Linked DNA regions of Oryctolagus cuniculus. The protein of the gene in region 1 binds, or shares a complex with, the protein of each later gene. Links are inferred from orthologs where the notes say so. Each region holds a gene or a part of one and is shown on either strand. Other genes may lie near its edges.

Evidence for each region.
Region 2: CNOT11 (region 1) and CNOT8 share a complex: the UniProt entries of both Homo sapiens proteins name them as parts of the CCR4-NOT complex. The link is inferred for Oryctolagus cuniculus from reciprocal best matches to the Homo sapiens genes CNOT11 and CNOT8.

What each region holds. Positions count from the first base shown.
Region 1 is NC_091433.1:107,382,851-107,387,082, forward strand, and holds the start of CNOT11 (CCR4-NOT transcription complex subunit 11), read right to left. Parts: upstream 2,970-4,232; 5' UTR 2,897-2,969; coding exon 2,371-2,896; intron 1-2,370. UniProt on the Homo sapiens protein: Component of the CCR4-NOT complex which is one of the major cellular mRNA deadenylases and is linked to various cellular processes including bulk mRNA degradation, miRNA-mediated repression, translational repression during translational initiation and general transcription regulation.
Region 2 is NC_091437.1:41,745,049-41,749,599, forward strand, and holds the start of CNOT8 (CCR4-NOT transcription complex subunit 8), read left to right. Parts: upstream 1-1,507; 5' UTR 1,508-1,816; intron 1,817-1,854; exon of another isoform or gene 1,855-2,288; intron 2,289-4,551. UniProt on the Homo sapiens protein: Has 3'-5' poly(A) exoribonuclease activity for synthetic poly(A) RNA substrate. Its function seems to be partially redundant with that of CNOT7.

The DNA.
Region 1 (4,232 bases):
ATCTGCTCCACCTCCAAACCAGCTCTCTGCTACTGCACCTGGGAAAGCAGGGGAAGATGGCCCAAGTGTTTGGGAAGCTGTATCCACATCGAAGACCTAGAAGAATCTCCTGGCTTTGGCCTGGCCCAGTCATTGTGGCCAGTTGGGGAGTGAACCAATGGATTGAAGATCTCTCTCTCCGTCCCTAACTCTGCTTTTCAAATAAATAAAACAAACCTTTAACAACAGCAACAAAAACAACTTCATTTCCCAAGATGCCTCAAATCCTTTCATGATAAAGCTTACATGTATTCAAGCATACACAGGTAATAAAAACTCCAGGGGCTGACACTATGGCGCAGCGGGCTAACGCTCTGGTCTGAAGCGCCAGCATCCCATATGGGCGCCGGTTCCAGTCCCGGCTGCTCCTCTTCCAATCCAGCTCTCTGCTATGGCCTGGGATGACAGTAGAAGATGGCCCAAGTCCTTGGGCCCCTGCACCTGCGAGGGAGACCTGGAAGAATCTCCTGGCTTCAGATTGGCAGAACTCCAGCCGTTGCGGCCATCTGGGGGGTGAACTAGCAGATGGAAGACTTCTCTATGTCTACCTCTGTCTATAACTCTTTCAAATAAATAAAAATAAATCTTAAAAAAAAAAAAAAAAAAAAAAAAAAAACCTCCAGCCCTCAGAATGCATTTCCTTCTTTCCTGCTGCAACCACACAGAAGCTGAGAGCAGAAAGCAAGAGTAGGGACGCCCACACACACCCCATACCTGGCTCCAATGCACTGGGCCCCTCGAACACTCCCACTGGCTGTGTGAGCCTTCCCTACGTCCCATGTTCATCCGCTCACCAAACCTCAGCTGTCAGTCTGGCAGTGTGGCCGGACAGCAGCCAGCCACGCGTCAGCTTTCCCACTGCACCCCCTCAGCTCCTTCCCGAGCCCCCTCCTTTCCCGCTGGCTCCCAGGGCCACCCTTGTTTACCTGCCACCCATACAGGGCCCGTGTCTGCCTCCCCCCCACTGAGCTGCACTTGTAGAGGGTAAACCTGCTCCCGTTAGTTACCTTGCTCACCCGCACCTACAGCTCACCCTCAACGCCTCTCCCATTCATGCGGGTGCAGTCCAGCCGCGCAAACCACCCCCCCTCCTCTGAACACAGCGCTTCTCCAACAGCACCTCACAGGGCCCCACACTCCGCCCAGCCACCCCCATCCCTAATCTACATCCAGCAAGAACATCACCCCCGAGACCCTCTCCAGCTCCACAGTAGTCAGGGCTCCTCTGTGAGGGGCATTGTGCATCCATCGGTATAGCCCTGCGCAGTCTGCTGTGGCTGTCTCTCAACCAGACTGCCAGCTTCTTGAGTCCAGAGTCTCAGGTACCGTTGCAAGCCTCGCTGGGCTCACACTCATCTGAAAAGCTGTTCAAAAATCCACCTGCTTGGCCTGCAGCTGGCTGCAACACCCACCCCGCGTATCGGGGTTCCTGATTCCAGGCCTCCCTCTGGCTCCTGACTCCCGCTTCCTGCTCACGCGGGCTCCAGTAGCTGGTTCTTGCCTGCTGCCAACAGTGGCCTAAGCACCCGTACCTAAAAGCCATCTCGGCCCAACACAAAAGCAGGGGACCAATGAGAAGATAACTTCAGATCCAGAGGTATGGCCAAGTAGACGCCCTCTTGCGCACTGGAAAAAATCCAGGTATCACCTCAAAACCTATTGCCTTCACCGTGGCTGGGGGTTCGGCGGGCCCACCGCTGCCCCATCGCGGCGCCAGCGGATCAAGCCGGTTCCCGCGACACTGGTCCCCCGCTAAGGCCTCCGTGTCCCCTTCTTCATCACCACCGCCTCTCTGTCTGGCTGACCAGTCTCCCACGGCAAATCCACACAAATCTAAACGCCGCATCCCTGCGTCCACCCTACTGGTAGTAGCCATCTGACCCAACGGCCCGGGAGGCGCGCGTTTTTCTAACCGAGACCGTTGATTGGAGACGGCACCTTCTACCTTCTGTCCTCAATCCCAGTACCCGGGAGACGGCACCTTCTACCTTCTGTCCTCAATCCCAGTACCCGGGGGGCAGGTAACCAAGCACAGGAGGCGCTGTTCACGCTGTCCTTCCGGCCAACCACGCCTCCGGGTTGGGGTACAGACTTGCACTCACTCCGCTGCGGCTGGAGACCGGGGCAGAGCCCGTGGGTTCGCAGCTCCACCCTCCACACACCTCCGCCGGGCTGTATTCGAGAGGAGAGCAATCCCAGGCCCAAGTCCATCGATGGCTCGCAACAGACGAGGTGAGTACGTTTCGGTGCAAGCGAACCACCGCCTCTCCACCCGCTAAGAGTCGCGGGGAAAGGCCGCCCCTGGCCACCCCACCCCGCCCGGGGAGGTACCTGAGAGCGGCGGGCGGTCGGGCTCCTGGCCGCCGCGGGCGGGCGGCGCGGGGTTGAGCAGGTGCGCGAAGCTGGCGGCGAACGGGTTGGCGGCGAGCGGCTCGGTGCGGTACATCTCCCAGAGCAGGTAGAGCGCGGTGAGGCGCTGCGCCGCGCTGGGCAGCAGGTCCGGCTGCTGCAGCAGCATCACCAGCACCGAGCCCAGGCGGAAGTGGTCGGCCTTGCTGAAGTAGTGGTGGAAGGCGGTAGACAAGCCCTCGAAGGTGCTGCCGCCGCCCGCCTCCTCCGAGATGATGCTCAGCAGGCTCGACAGCTCCTTCGGGGTCAGGCTCATCCTGCCCGCCGGGCCCCCCGGGCCGCCGCCGCCGCCGCCGCTCCCCGGCCCGGGGCCGCCTGATCCGCCTCTGCCGACGCCGGAGCTCCCCGGGCCGCTCCGGGACGCCGACCCCGCCGCCTCTCGGGCCCCCCTTTGCTCTGCGGCGGTGAGAAGCCGGCCCGATGCCGCGCTCGCCCCGCCGCCGGGCATCAACTTCGCTCGCCCGCGCTGCTTGGCGGCCCGAGCGGCCCTGGCGCCGACGCACTCCGTTCCCGCAGCCGTAAAGCGCGCCGTTACACGACAGCGTCGTAAACAAAACACGCCGTGAAACCTGACGGCCGAGCGAAAGCGAGGCTGCTGGAGCGAGGCCCAGGAGAGGATCGGGAGACGCGAGGTGGGCGGGGCGACGCTGCCGGAAGTCGGGCTGTGGCCTCCTGGAGCGGCGGGGGCGGGCCCGGCCGGCCCGGTTCTGGTCTGGCTCGGTGCTAATGGACTGGGAGTAGGGGTGCCCCAGGTCCAGCGGGAGCGTACCCGCTTAGGAGTAGCCCAGGCACTGCCTGGCACCAGACTGCCCCAGCAAATGGTGGGTGCTTTATTGTTTGGAAAAATGCATTTTCGGTGCTAAATACTTTTCCATGTGATATCCTCAACTATTCATGGTAAAAAGTAGTGCAAATTGGCCTGCGCCGCGGCTCAATAGGCTAATACTCCGCCTTGCGGCGCCGGCACAACGGGTTCTAGTCCCGGTCAGGACGCCGGATTCTGTCCCAGTTGCCCCTCTTCCAGGCCAGCCCTCTGCTGTGGCCAGGGAGTGCAGTGGAGGATGGCCCAAGTGCTTGGGCCCTGCACCCCATGGGAGACCAGGAGAAGCACCTAACTCCTGCCATCGGATCAGCGTGGTGCGCCGGCCGCAGCGGCCATTGGAGGGTGAACCAAGGGCAAAGGAAGACCTTTCTGTCTCTCTCTCTCACTGTCCACTCTGCCTGTCAAAAAAAATAAAAATAAATAAATAAATAAATAGTGCAAATTGAAGACACCACACATTCACCAAAATTGATGTTTACGCTTTTTTTGCAGCACGGAATCTTATCCAGGAATCTTACTTAGTTTAACTAGACTTGAAGATGTTTGCAACAAATATGCATTAGCAGAATCATTCCTGTGCCACTTTGTGTTTAGCTTGCTCTAGCCTTTGTAAATCCCAGTGCCTGTCCCACCCCCAGGGATTCTGATCCCGTGTTCAAAAACAAACACTCCACAGGTGACTGTAAGGTGCCATGTGGGCTGAGAACCACTGGGGCAGGGGCGGACATTTCCCTAACCCTACAGTAATTCCTGTTTGGGAATCCTATGTGCGCTGAACAGTGCCTTTAGCTCGTTGTCTAGTTACACGCCACCTTAATTCTTCTGATTTTTTTTTTTTTAAGGTTTTTTTTTTTTTTTTTTTTTTTTTTTTTTTTGACAGGCAGAGTGGACAGTGAGAGAGAGACAGAGAGAGAAAGGTCTTCCTTTGCCGTTGGTTCACCCTCCAATGGCCGCCGCTGCA
Region 2 (4,551 bases), on another chromosome or scaffold:
GTCCTAATTCTGCAGTAGCACGAGTGTAGCATAAAATCAATTTTTTTAAACAAACACTCCAGTGCCCCCTGAGATGCAACCCATCTGTGTTTGCTTTAAATTTATCTTCAGTAATCTAAGAGAGGAACACCCAGTTCTGGGTGAGCAGTGCTGCAGGGGATGGTTTCCTGTTTGATTGTTTCAGTGCACACCAGGCCCTGAGCTGCAGGAAAAAACAAAATTCCAAGGAAGGATTGTGGACGCCTCTTCATGGGACTAGCGCCTGCCTGACAGGGCTACCTTCTCCCCAGTCCCAGCCTAAGTGGGTGAAAGGATGTTAGAAAACCAGAACTGGCTGGGTGTTCCTCCACCGACAGCTCTTGCGGAACAGCTAATAAACACTGACAGTTTCAGGCAGAACAAACAGGGACGTGCCAGGAACAGGGATTTACTGAAGGCTTTTCTATGTCTTCCTGCTTGCGGGATCCTCCCCACCCCCTGCATTTATTAATTATTTAATCTCCACAACACTGTGAGGGTCAGTCCATTCCTATTCTGAAGCTAAGGGGACAGACACTCATTTGGAGGGGAGAAAGCGCACTTGATGCTGTCACCCCGGGGACCAGGTTTTGGAAACCCCTCTGAAATGGCCAGCTCGGCATCCGGCCTCGGCAAGGCAAAGGGTTTTGGAGAACCCGCTTACGGGGAAATCTTTAAAAGCCAACAGCCGGCAGGCCGCTCGTAGGTTACTAGGGCTGCGTCTGCACTGTGTTTGAACAACGGCCCTTGGCTTCACCCCCAGGGACAAGGGCGGAGCTCCTTCGAGAGCCACAGCGGGGATGGCCCTGGGCCTGGAGCCGAGCGCAGGGCTCGGCGCTTTGTCTTCCCGGCAGCCGCCGCTAGAGCACGCGAGTGGCAGTGGCGCAGCCCAGCCTGGCCAAACGCTGCCAAGGACAGGCGTTGGCGAAAAGCCCTCTCTCCAAAACAGGATTAAAAAGGAATCCAAGGGTTGGAAGAACGGCCCTAGAGGCCGCGTGGGCTGGGCCTGGGACCCCCGACTGTTCAAACTAAAAAGTGGGGAGACTGCCCCACGATGGAATCTCTGAGAAGGCCGCGCGCCTGAGCTCGCCCAGGGAAGGCGGTGTCCCCTTAGTACCCAGCCCGAGCAGGCCGCGAGGAGCCGGTTGCTGCGGTAACGCGCCGGCCCGGCCCCGAGGTGCGCGGAGGGAGGCGGACACAACCGAAGCTTCGGTTTGGGGGCGCCGCCGCATCCCCAACTAATTGTTTGCCAGCAAGGAACCCATGAGGCAGATGTTAGTCCTAAGTGAGGGATCCAAGGGGCCACATTAATACAGAAGGCCGGCTCAGGATCCTTCCCCAGTACACTCCCAATCCTGTACTGCCAACGACTTTAACGGTCCCCCAAAGCAGGGAGGAGGGGGCGCCGTAGTTTGGGGGATTGGGGCAGACTCGACACGCCCTCGCCTCGGCCTTTGGGTTCCCCAGGCCACGCCCACCAGGAGGGGCTAGTTCTAGACCACGCCCCTTCCCTGGGCGCGCGGAAGGGAAACCGACATGGAGGCGTAGAGATCGTGCTTGAACTGAACCAGCGAAACTAATCGCGCCAAGGCCTAGAGCGGACTGTCTTCCGCATGCGTCTTCCGAGGCCGCCCCGCCCCACCATTTTCGCGGCGCCCTCTTGGTTCTGCGCCTGCGCGCTGCTTCCCGCGAGCTCCAGGGCCCAGAGAGCACGCACGGAGTTGCCGGGGCGCGCCAGAGGGAAGCGCGGCCATGAACAGGCGCGCGCGCGCGCCTCTGGAATGACGCAAGAGAGCAGGCGAGTCGGGAGGATCTTACGGGTAGAGTGGCGCAGCTGTGTTGTTTGGTAGGCGGTGCGTAAGGCCGCTCTGGGCACGGGGGTTCCCATCTCACTGGCCCACTCGGTTCTAGGAGCAGATCCGGGGCAGAGGGAGGAGAGCTTCGGGTCAGGGGCCGCCGCCGCCGCTGCCGCTGGGGAGTCCGGCTGCCAGCCCGCCAACCCGCGCTGCGCGGGCCTTGCTGGTCAGGGTAAGCGGGCTCTCGCTTACCGGAAAGAGGAGCGTGAGCTGGAAGAGTGGGAGATCCTTGGGGGCTTGTAGGAGGAAGGGCAGTGTGCGAGCGGCAAGCAGTGAGGCGGGGAGGAAGCCCACCGAATAGTAGTAATAACAATCAGTATAATCATTCTGATCCTATTCCGGCGATATATGCCAGGAGTTTGCAAAGCACCTTTTATGCTTCATTCTGGGTAACCGCTGCTGCAGTTCTCCGAGGTGCATACTAGTCTCAGACCCATTCTACCAGATAGGAGAAGTGAGGCACCGGAGAGGTTAATTTATGCAAGTGCATACGGCTGGTTCGTGGCCTGGCCTGTCTGGCTCTAAGGCCTGTAGTATTCATATCTTCGTTTTGCCCTGGGCGGGGGGGAGGAGTGGGGTGTTCGGAGGGGAGGGCTGAGTGTGGTTTCAAGTGGGAGGGGGATCCCGAACGGAAGAGGAAGATGAGGCTGGAGACTGAGTAGGGGAGAGGACCCGAGTTCTGACCTCACTCACCTCCTCCTCCTGAGTTCTTGCAGCCCTGCAACTTTTCCTTGCTGCCGTGTGTCTTTAGGAGGCAGAGCCATTACCCTGGAGGAGCTCACCCCAGGCCTGGGACACTCTGGGGTTTTAAGGACTGGTTGGACTGCACTTGGGTCCCGGGCCCAGCGTCTCCGACTCTGTGTTTAGGCGGGGGAAGGGCGGGGGTGGTGGCGGCGACCCTGTGGAGCGAGGTCGCCCCTCCTTGGTGATGCTGCTGCCACTTCTGCTAACGCGCTGCTGCTTCCTTTTCTATCTTACTGGTGCAGGGCAGAGCCTTTCTTCGGTCTTCTCAAATAGTGCAGCGATGTTTATTGTTTCCTAAGCCAGAAAAACCAAACATTCAAGTAAATGATCTTTCTCCTGGCCAGGCCGGTACTCTTGATGGCTTGCGTAGAAGGCTTTCGGTGGTCTTCTCCTGAGTGGCTCTTTAGAATTTTTCTGGGGAAATCAGGAACTCTGTTATGGGGAAGATTGCTCTGTAGGTGGTCAGGACGGACCCGAATAGGCTGCAGGACCTTAGTAATCTGAAGGGGGTGTGTCCTTGCAGTGGAAGTCAACTTTTAAAGTCAACCTCTGAGGCAGACGTTGTATGCAATCAAAAGTATCCTTAAAGACTCCTTAGGAAGAGGCAAAATTTGAGATTGATGTCTATTTTTGAGTAAATCCACCACTGTTTTGTAACAAGCCTTGAAACTTGTTACTGTGTCTTTAGTTGCAACCCAGGTGAAGTAAAGAGCTGTGTGGTACAAATAGTTTTTAAGAACTTAGAGTCATCATGGACCAAAAACCTGGAGAGACTTAAAAGGAGGAAGGGAAAGCAGAGGCACTGTCCTGTGTGTTTGTGGTTCCTGTTTTGGGCTTTCTGGAGGGTGTACTGGCAGAACGGAAAGCGGCAGGTGGAATTGCTGCTGCTAAGTTGCTGTTTTGTTCCTCTTCTTTTGTCCATTACATCCATTCGATTCGAGCTGCTGAATTAAATGCGCACAGTGTGATTCCTCTTCAGGTTTGGACTGGCACTGCATTGAGGGTCTTGCAAGCTGCTGTTTATTTCTCCACAAATTTCCTAGCTGAGAATTTGGTAGAAGACTGTTCTGCGTATTTTTGCCAGTGGTCTGGTTTGTGTGGTCACCGTTTGTCAGTTAATGTAAGACAGTGATTAGGTTTTTAGCAGTGGTTAGCTTTTTAAAAATAAATGGTGGCTAGTGGCATTTTTTTTGCTCGTGTCTCTTTTGTTGCTTTTGCGGAAACATCTTTCAGGAGTGATACCCACTTCCCCTAAACTGGTTGTGGTAGTGTTTGAAATGACGTGGAAAAGCAAGTGTGTTGTTTCAGCTAGGGAAATAAGGAAGTGACACCAATTTAACATTAAATAGGCTTAGAAAATGGTTGTAGTCCCATTTATAGGGGAATGTTTTAAGTTTGATTAGGAATCTAGAAATCTGAGACTCAACATTGTGTTGTCTTTTTCTTTAAATGTTATCTTTATCCATTTTACTTATTTAGGAGAGAGGGAGAAAAAGCAGGCTTCCACTTCCTGTCTGCCCATTAACCCCCCAAATGCCCACAGCAGCTGAGGCTGGGTTGGGGTTGTGACTGGGTCCAGGGCCAGAGCTGAAGCCTCGGGGGAGTGAGGAATTCAATATACGTCTCCCACGTGCATGGCAGGAACCCACTAAATAGAGCCATCAGCACTGCCTCCCAGGGTCTGCCTTGGCAGGAAGCTGGGGTTAGGAGCCGCAGCGGGGAATTAAACCCAGGGCACTCTGATGTGAGACAGAGGCATCTTAACTGCTGGACTGACATATTTACTAGCCTGGCAGTCTCTTGATTATGGACAGAAAGTGGATTTTACTCCATGTTAAGTTTGAACTTTGATTTTCCTGCTCTTGATTTGTTCATTTGAAAAAGCACGTAATAGGCTGGCGCCGTGGCTCAATAGGCTAATCCTCCACCTTGC